Cricetulus griseus: one gene and its partner. The protein of the gene in region 1 purifies or fractionates together with the protein of each later gene. This does not show direct contact. Links are inferred from orthologs where the notes say so. Each region holds a gene or a part of one and is shown on either strand. Other genes may lie near its edges. The genes, in order: Irf2 and interferon regulatory factor 2-binding protein 1.

Evidence for each region.
Region 2: the proteins of Irf2 (region 1) and interferon regulatory factor 2-binding protein 1 purify together in Homo sapiens (affinity purification with mass spectrometry; 4 studies listed by BioGRID and IntAct, counting the BioPlex papers as one, with this or other methods). This does not show direct contact. The link is inferred for Cricetulus griseus from reciprocal best matches to the Homo sapiens genes IRF2 and IRF2BP1.

The regions. Positions count from the first base shown.
Region 1 is NW_023276807.1:39,912,686-39,917,208, reverse strand, and holds the start of Irf2 (interferon regulatory factor 2), read left to right. Parts: upstream 1-1,581; 5' UTR 1,582-1,765; intron 1,766-3,134; exon of another isoform or gene 3,135-3,307; intron 3,308-4,523. UniProt on the Homo sapiens protein: Specifically binds to the upstream regulatory region of type I IFN and IFN-inducible MHC class I genes (the interferon consensus sequence (ICS)) and represses those genes. Also acts as an activator for several genes including H4 and IL7.
Region 2 is NC_048602.1:28,363,771-28,367,990, forward strand, and holds interferon regulatory factor 2-binding protein 1, read right to left. Parts: upstream 2,994-4,220; 5' UTR 2,957-2,993; coding exon 1,196-2,956; 3' UTR 777-1,195; downstream 1-776. UniProt on the Homo sapiens protein: Acts as a transcriptional corepressor in a IRF2-dependent manner; this repression is not mediated by histone deacetylase activities. May act as an E3 ligase towards JDP2, enhancing its polyubiquitination. Represses ATF2-dependent transcriptional activation.

The DNA of each region.
Region 1 (4,523 bases):
TGGCCTCTGTGAGTACATGACTCGCAAGCACGCGCGTGCGCGCACGCACACATACACACACACACACACACACACACACACACACACACACACACAAACACACACCACATGTACTCATGCACACAAAAAGTATGCAAGAAAAGAATGGCTGGTGGTTATGAGGTTTTTAACTTAGGTGCCTAGTTGATAAAGAGGGACAACTATCTCAAAGTTTGTATACTCTCATGGTTATTGATGTATATAAAATATGAAAGCAAGGTTTGTACAGTGTTATTAGGGGAGGAATAAAGGACAATGTGTGCCTGAGGGAAATCTATTTTTAAGACAAGACAGAGTCCTTAATCTCACCTATTTCCTTCCGCAAGTACATGGGTACACTTCCTTTTCCTGTCTGTGGAATGACAAACAGGAGGTAGAATTAGCTTTCAGATGTGTACACATAGGTAGTTACAATCTCCTAGGATGGGACCTTCTCTAATGGCTAGAGAAGGACTATGAAACTGTAAGCCAAGAAAGAAACAGGTGTAACTAAATGCAACAAAATACTTTTAAAGTTAAAAGGCCAAAGAGGAGGTTCCAAGTGAGCTGGCCCAGTAGAGCTAATAGGCAATAGCTGCTGCACCTGTCATAGGTACCCGGCCTTCTTCTTGAATTCTTTATCATCTCCACTGTACAGCGTGGAGGACAGCGGCCAAGGATGTCCAGCTAATAAGGGGTCAAATTTGAACTCGGCTATAAGTAATTTGCAGTATTAGCTTTCCCTCCAGGGCCAGCCACAACCAAGACATTTTAAGTTAAGTAATACACAGCCTTGCCCATCTCATCTTGCAAAGAATGGAACATGAAAGTAGCCTTGGAGAGTGACTTACTTGGGGAAGGCCTTTCTAATCATCCTAGCTCCCACACAGAGTGCCAGGCTGCCCCTTCACCACTCACCCCCAGTAGAAGATCCAATAAAGTAGAGAGGCAAGTAATGCTCTCTTTTCAGCTGACTTCGTTCCTAACATTCCTTTGCAACGGGCGACTCTCCAAGATAAGTTTCTGTGTGCAGCCTGAGCACAGAGGTTCTGAACAGTTAACACACAGGTCAGAAAGGGTCCCCAGGCTTCCCAGCCTCCCTCTGGTCCTTCCCACCTTCAGGTAGGATGCAGAGACAGGTACCTCCTTCCTTCCCCATGGCCACTAGCTGGTGGCCAGATCCCAAGCCTGCGCCTGGCCCGCCACTTCTGGAGCCCCCTCTCCAGCGTGGCCACGGTGAAAAGCGAGCGACCCTCGGCGCGAGCCACACACTCACGCGCTACCGCTTGTTGCTCCCCGCAGCCGCGACGTGGGGAAGTGAAAATGAAATTGACTTTTCCGAGAAATGATGAAAGCCGCGCTGCCCGCCAATGAACAGCGGCGGCGAACTTCCGCACCTCCCGGCTGGCGGCTGGAGCCCTCCCTCTGCCTCCACCTCCGGGTTGCACAAGCTTGAAACAAACACTGGGGAGGAAGGGCGGGGAGGGAGGAGGGCGGAGGGGGAGCGAGGGAGGGAGCGGGGCCGGGAGAGGGCGGGGGTGGGGGGATTTCCAGCCTCGGCTCCTCGCAGTTTCCTCTCCTTGTTTTGCTTTCGATCTGGACTGTTCTCAGGCGAGCCGGGGAGTAACTTTTAGTTTTGCTCCTGCGATTATTCAACTGACGGGCTTTCATTTCCATTTTACACACCCTAACAACACTTACACCTTGCGGGATTGTATTGGTAGCGTGAAAAAAAGCACACTGAGAGGTAACATTTTTTTCAAATAATAGTTGTGACTGTGCGTGTGTTTTCTCTCGAGGGCATGTTGATGGGGACAGGAGGAGCTCTGTATGTATGTGCGTCCTGATGCTTTGACACGATGTTTTGCAGACGGAAAATGCCGGGGTTCATAAATATTAATACCGATTTTTGGAGGAAGAGTCGGCGCAGTTATGGATCATCTGATTTTAGGGGAAGCAGGGTCTGCTGCTGTTGCTGCTGGTACTGGGGCTGCTGAGGCTGCAAGGAGGAGGAGGAGGTAGAGAGGGAGGAGGAGGTTAGTGGAGGTTTAATTTCACTTTTGGATTTGCAGATGCGAAGAGGTGGCTCCATGGACACAGATCTGCTCTGTGTGATTCTGCGCCCCAGGTGTCGTGCGTTGTGGGTGCAGGTCCGCCGGAGTCGGGCCTCATTTAAAATAATATTGGGGTGCGTGTGTGTGTGTGTGTGTGTGTGTGTGTGTGTGTGTGTGTGTGTGTGTGTATGTATGTATGTGTGTGTTTACAGACACTGTCGCCACCGAAGGTCCGAAGAAGGGAACCGGGTTCTTCTCGGTACCCGGCGGCCCTTCTCTCTCGGCAGTCTCTGGTGTAAATAGACTGGCACCCGCGGTCCCCAGATACCCATGCCCGGGCAGTGGCCACAGTAAACTTGATGGGTGCTGTGAGGCGCTCCCGGGATGTGCTCGCCCATGGGGCTCGGGATCGGGTGACGGGCGTCGGGTGCCAGCGATCACTCGGGCCGGGCGGGCTACGCGCGCGGCTGGGCGCGGGCCTGGCCGGCGCGCCCGGCTTCCTGGGGGCTGGGCCGCCGCCACTCGCTAAGGACGTCGCGTCCTCCTACCCGCCGGCCAGCGCCTGGCCTGGCCTCGGGGCTTTGTCACTGAATTTGTCTCAGCGCTCAAGGCTCCCGAGAGGCGCGTCCCAGGAGGGCTCTGTGCGCAGGGGTCACCTACCCCGGCGCGGCCTAGCTGCGAGCGCCTCCGGGTCCCCGCGGGCGCCCCCGGGCCGGCCTGGCGCGCTGGGCCCGACCCTCCTTGGCTACGGAACGGGCGAGGTGTGGGGGCGGGGAGCCTCCGGGGACTGAGCGGCGCCCCCGCGGGCAGGAGTGGGGGCCTGGCAAGCCCTCGGGGGTCTCCAGGACGCGGTGGAGATCTGAGTGCCCGCCCCGTGCCCTCCGACCCGCTCCGGGCGCCGGGTGACATTCGCCCGCCGGCCGAACATGGTTGGTGCAGAGCGGCAGCCGCCACTTCCTCTCCGCCCAGCCGGCCCGGTTCTCTGGGCGAGCGATGAGGGCCGCGGCCAATCGCGGTGCCCGGCCAGTCCCCGCCACACGGCCTTGGGGGCCGGCGCCCCTAAGTCGCCCGGGAAGCCTTAGCGAGAGCGCAGGGCCCGGACGCGGCAGCCGGTGCCTCCGCTGGGCCCCGGGTCTTGGATCCTTGGCCACCCTCAGCCCCTTGCCCCTTAGGAGCAGGGAAGTGAAGGAGGCCGGCAGCCTCAACCCTGGGCCAGGACTGTGCTCGAGCACCAGGTGAGACACCCGGGTCAGCCGGTGGAGGCAAGACCCTTGGAGGTCGGATGTAAATAAGACCCTGGGGGTTGGCAGTCGAGGTCATCACTCATCTGCTGGCCCGTTTGCAGTCCTTCTTAACCCCTCCGTGTTTGAAACTTGGGGACATGTTCCTCCTCCCCTCCTCCCTCCGGTGTGGGCACTCCCTATGTCCTTGGTTGCGTCTGTGCCAGGAAGGCAAAGTGGTGCTGGGGTTAGCTTTCTGCCACTGGCCTCCCTGTGGCTGGGACTCCGGGCTGCTCTTGATGAATGGCTCCGGAGGGTGGAGGATAGTTACATTTCCTGTTGTGCATTTTCAGGAATTACCGAGGTTGTCGTCAAGCCTGAAGTCATTTATTAGCTCTTTCACAGCGACTGACTGCAAATAACATTTGAAGTTAGCAGCCTGTACTTCTGGTACTTAAGGGCAGGTGCAGGACGGGTCTGTTAGCCCACTGTTTACAGACGGTGCATGACGGGATGGTAGGGTAGACAGATGTACACTGCCTGGTTAGGGCAGGGCCTCAGAGGTCGCCCTGTTTAACTTAATCGCTCGTACAAGTTCGGGATTCTATGATTTTCTCAGCTCTCATTCTTTTTTGCTGGAGTGGGGGGTGTCACAAAAATAGAAACGGATGCAACCTCAGAATTTGTCTTTTCTAAGGCAGATTCAAGCAAATGGAATATTTAGGATTTGAGTTGGCATCTCTTCTAAGGGGTAACTTTGGAACGTCTATTGATTGATGGGGCAAAGTCCAGAATTTCACTGTAATTGGTGAATGATTATAATTTACACCCTCGCTTGTGTAAGAAGTTAGGTGTTGGCCTGCGCTTAAACCCGGGAGATCTTGTCTGTTATGATTTGTTACTGCTTCTTAAAATTAAACATATTTCATTCTCAATGAGTTGTCTTTTTTTCTGTTGACCAAAGTTAGGAATAGTTCCACATGTTTCAGACTCACTTACCTGTAAAATTCGAGGGTTTGTAATCAAATTTGGAGCAACTTAAGTCTAAAGAGGAATTGCCATAAAGTCTTGACAGCTCTGTGAACTATAACTGTACTTTTCTCCTACTCTACCTCCTGGAAAACTCCATTAAACAAATATTTAATATAACACAACTAGTGAGAGCTACTTAAATCTAGGAGTAGAATACTTAAAACTTTGGATATCCAACATTTGAAATCCATCTATTTCC
Region 2 (4,220 bases), on another chromosome or scaffold:
TAATCTGCGAGCCAGGATAGCAGTGGGAAGCGGGCAGGTTTCCTGGGGCCGCCCCATCTTTTTAACCCCTGTTTTGCCACAACCTGCCTAGGCCCCCCAGACCCCGCCCCGTGACGTCAGCGAGCAGGAAATCCTGGTTAATGATCAGTCACCCAGGACAGGTGCGGGACAAGGCCGTGCACACATCAGAAGCAGCCGCGGCGGCTGAGAGCCTTTTACTTAGCTCCTGGGTGTTCTAGGGTGGCTGCCATGTCCCCAGATGAAAGACGTGAACCCAGGATAGGTTTCTCGGGTGTGTTCGCCTCTCAGGCACCATCACCCTGCTTCCAGTTACCCTGTTTGCCCGGGGAAAGTAAAACTTACTCTACCCAGGGCAGTTACCCTAGAAATACACCTTCACGTAAATTGGTCTAGGAAGTGCCCCTCTTCCTGTCCCCTCCTCCGATGGTTCCCACATTCAGAGTACCGGCCAGCTACAGCGCATACCTACTCCCCGGCTTGTCTGCGCTCCCCACGCGGGAGTCAAACCCTATCAGAACCTCAGTTCCATCGTCTGCAACACCAGCCTCGACTACACCTTTTAATGAGCACAGCAAACGTACACTACAAACAGCCGCCCGCTGGACAAAGGGCGCCACCCCGTGGTCACATAGCAGAAGTCCACCTTCTCGCAGGACACGTCCAGTCCCGAAGGGGGCGCAGCATCTCACACAACTAAAGGGACCGTGAAGGGGAGGGGAAGGAGGGGAAGGAGGGGAGAGGATTTAAAAAAAAAAAAAAAAAAAAAAAAAAAAACCATCTTTCGGTTTATTGAAGGAGGGAAAGGGTGGGAGAGGGGAGCAATAAAATGCTTTTGCTTCGTTTATAAAGAGCGAGTTCTCAGGAGACCTCCCCTCGAGGACAAGCGGGGCATCTCTCTCCCCAACTACCAACAGCAGAAAAAGCCAAGCCAAGAAAGGAGAAGGAAATCGGAGGGACCCAGGAACTCCAAACGCCTGCTCTGACAGGAGCCACAAGCTCTCCCCCCACCCACAATGCATCTACCCTAGGGGATCCATCCGGGTAGGGGAAGAGGGTATATACACAGGTTAGGGCGGTACTGGGCTGGGCGGGGTAGGGAATAATTTATCCGCAAGAACTGCGGTGGGTGGTCTAGGGGGGGCGGGGTAAGTAGCCTATCGATGGCATTGGCGGCCTAGGGGTCCCTTTCTTTCTTGACCTTGATGTCTCCAGCAAGGATGGTAGCGATCTCGCCCTGCATGAAGGCCCAGGGAACGGAGGAACCCACCAGCGGACACTTGTCTCCGCTGGGGCAGTACACCTCTCCAGCTGGGCCCTGAGCTTTGATGAACTCTCGAGAGCAGGGGAAGCAGAACTTGTGTCCGGGTACCGAGGGACACTGCACGAAGTGGGTGTCTTCCAGCCTCTCTCTGCACAGGGTACAGCACAAGGGGGCTCCAGGGGTCGCCCCTGTGCCGCTACCACCCCCGCTGACAGCTTCAGCCCCGGCCGTGGGGCTGACCTCTGCCTCTCCGTTGCGCGACACCAGGCGATGCTGGCTTGGTGGCTGGGTCGTGGAGGAGGCGGCTGGGCTGGCTCCCCCTGTGCGCACCGGGCCTCCACCCCCACCAGGGTCCTTGGGTGAGTGGCCCAGGGCTTCGGCCACATTCTTGAGGGCGGCGATGGGCGAGGGCACACCAGGCGTGTCCGTGGAGTAGGGGCCACCCGGTGCCACCCAGTGCCGCTGCTGCTGCTCCTCCGTGGTCATCTTCCCGGCTGACTCGCCCTCGGGCTCGGGGGACGCCTTGCGCCGGCGTGGCGTGGGCGCCAGGTTCCTGGAGGGGGCTCGAGGTGGCGGGCCACACAGAGCAGCCGGGGTCGGTTCTGGGTACTGCTGAGGCAGGGCCTCGGCAGGAGCGGGCTCTCGGAAGCTGCGGACCCCGTCGGTGAGCAGCTCTCCCAGCTGGCGCCATTCCCCTGAGCCGTGGCGGCGTTCGTATTCGAGGTACTTGAAGCCCGACGAGGCCAGGGCCTTGCCCGGCTCCCGGAGGGCATCGTGGAACATCTGGCGGGCCACCGCCAGGACCCCCGCGTACACGTTGCCGGAGCCGCAGGGGTACTCGGTGAAGAGCTTCAGCTCGAACTCGTAGCCGGGGGGGCGGGCGGTGGCATCGAAGGCGAACACCCTTCCCACCAGCCCGTGGTCCTTCTTGAAGCGGACGTTGAAAGGGGCGCAGGCAGACAGCGCCAGTAGCTGCTCCCTCACAGCCTTGGGGCGCCCGTGCCACTCCTCCGCCCGGCCGCGCATGGCCTCGTTCAGTTCTGCCAAACAGTCCGCATTCCTCTGCTGCTTCTCCTTCTCGAAATCGGAGCCGAAGAGTGGACGGGCCGGGCTCAAGCCAGGTGCCAGCGTCAGGGCTCGCCCTCCGAGGCCAGACACCGCAGCTGCCAGCAGCCCGGGGGGCATCAGGCTGGGGATGGAGCCAAGCAGGGCCCGGCGAGCCCCTTCGGCCACCGCCTCGTCGCCGCGGCTCAGCCCGTTGGCCAGGCGGGACCCCAGGGTGTACTCCAGGGCCGGCGAGGGCAGCGCCAAGCGGCTCGACGAAGTGGCCCGGTCGTAGCGCTGCTCCGGGCCCGAGACGCTACCTCCGGTCCCCGATGGCTGCGCCTGGGCCTGCGGGGGCGGCAACTGGGAGCCCTGGGTGCCCGCCGAGGCCAGGTCCTTGGAGGTCGGGTGCTTGAGGGCCGGGGGTCCCGGCGAGCGGCCCTCGGGGAGCACGTGGCTGCGCTTGAGCTGGCGGGCGGCGTCGATGAGCAGCTCGATGCGGTCGGCGCCCTCGAAATTCACGCACCCGCGGCACACGGCCTCGCTGAAGTCCCACACCATGGCCCAAGGCATCTTGGGCAGGTCGCAGAGGTAGCACCACTGGCGGCGGGACGCTTGCACCGAAGCCATGGCGCCCCACCACCACCACACCGCACCGCCGCCGCGCCACCGATCCCCCCCCCGAACCCCCGGAGAGCCGCCGGGGGCCCCCCGCGGTGCACCCGCCGCCCACGTTCGCTCCGCCGGGCCCCGGGGATCGGGCGTGCGAGCCGCTGCTCGCTCGGTCCGGCCTCGGCTCGGCTGCGCTCGGCCTCCCCGCCGGATTCAGGCCCGGCCCCCCTTCCACGCCCCCTGGGCCCTGAGCCTTTTTTTTTTTTTTCCTCTCTCTCTCTCTCTCTCTCTCTCTCTTTTTTTTTCCTCTTCTCTCCTCCTCACTCCCGCCTCCCGTGGAAAAGGCAAGCCGCGAGCACGCACGTCGGCGCCCTCCTCCGGTCCGCACCGTGAGTCAGGATGCACAGCTCCAGCTCCCCCGATGGGCCTCGGGCGCCGCCGCCCCGGGCTCCCGCCGCTCGCCCCGCCGCTCGCCCCGCCGCCGCCGACGCCGCTGCAACGGCCGCCGCCGCCGCCTCCACCTCCTTCTTCTGCCCCAGAGGCCGCTTCGCAGGGAAAGTTACATAACGCGCGGGCAAAGCCTTCTGGGAAATGTAGTCCCGTCGGGGCTGCTTCTTAAAGGGGACTTGGGCAGAAAGCAGTGGCGGGAAAGAAAAGAAAAGAAAAGAAAAGAAGAGTGGGCGCGCGCCTGGCCCCTGCGTGCTTCCTTTCTTGTGGCTCGCCTGGGTTCGCAACACGGGGGTCCAGGGGACGGATCGTGGGTTCATAAATGCTTGGGGAGGACAAGTGCTGGGCATTCATTTTTTTTTTTTTCCCGCCTTCTGATGTTGAGACTTTGGATTTTAGCTTAGGCTGGCCTGAGAAGGCCAGCGTCGATAAGCTAGGCTGGCTTGAGACTGGCTGCGGCCCTCCTGCATCAGCATCCCTAGCGGCGGGGCTGCAGTGCTGGAACTCCAGGCCCAGAACCCCGGCGAGCATTTTCTGCTGCTGCTCTGATTTGCTGAGCAGTTTCAGAGAAGAGTCTTGCCCTCTCTGAGAATCCCGCCCCTCCAAGCAGGGCCAATGACGGGTGAGGGAGGCAGCAGCTTTTTTGAGATGGGGCGGAGAGGTTCTGATTGGATGCTTTCAAGGGACCGGGAAGCAGGCGACCGTGTTGGAAAGGGGTGTCTCCAAGCCACTTTGTCCTCCCCCAGGGGTGCGAGCCTCAAGGGAGGCCCGCATGCCACAGGATGAGGAGAGGACCGAAGGCTCCGGAGCCAGGGCCTCATCTGTCGAAGGAGGG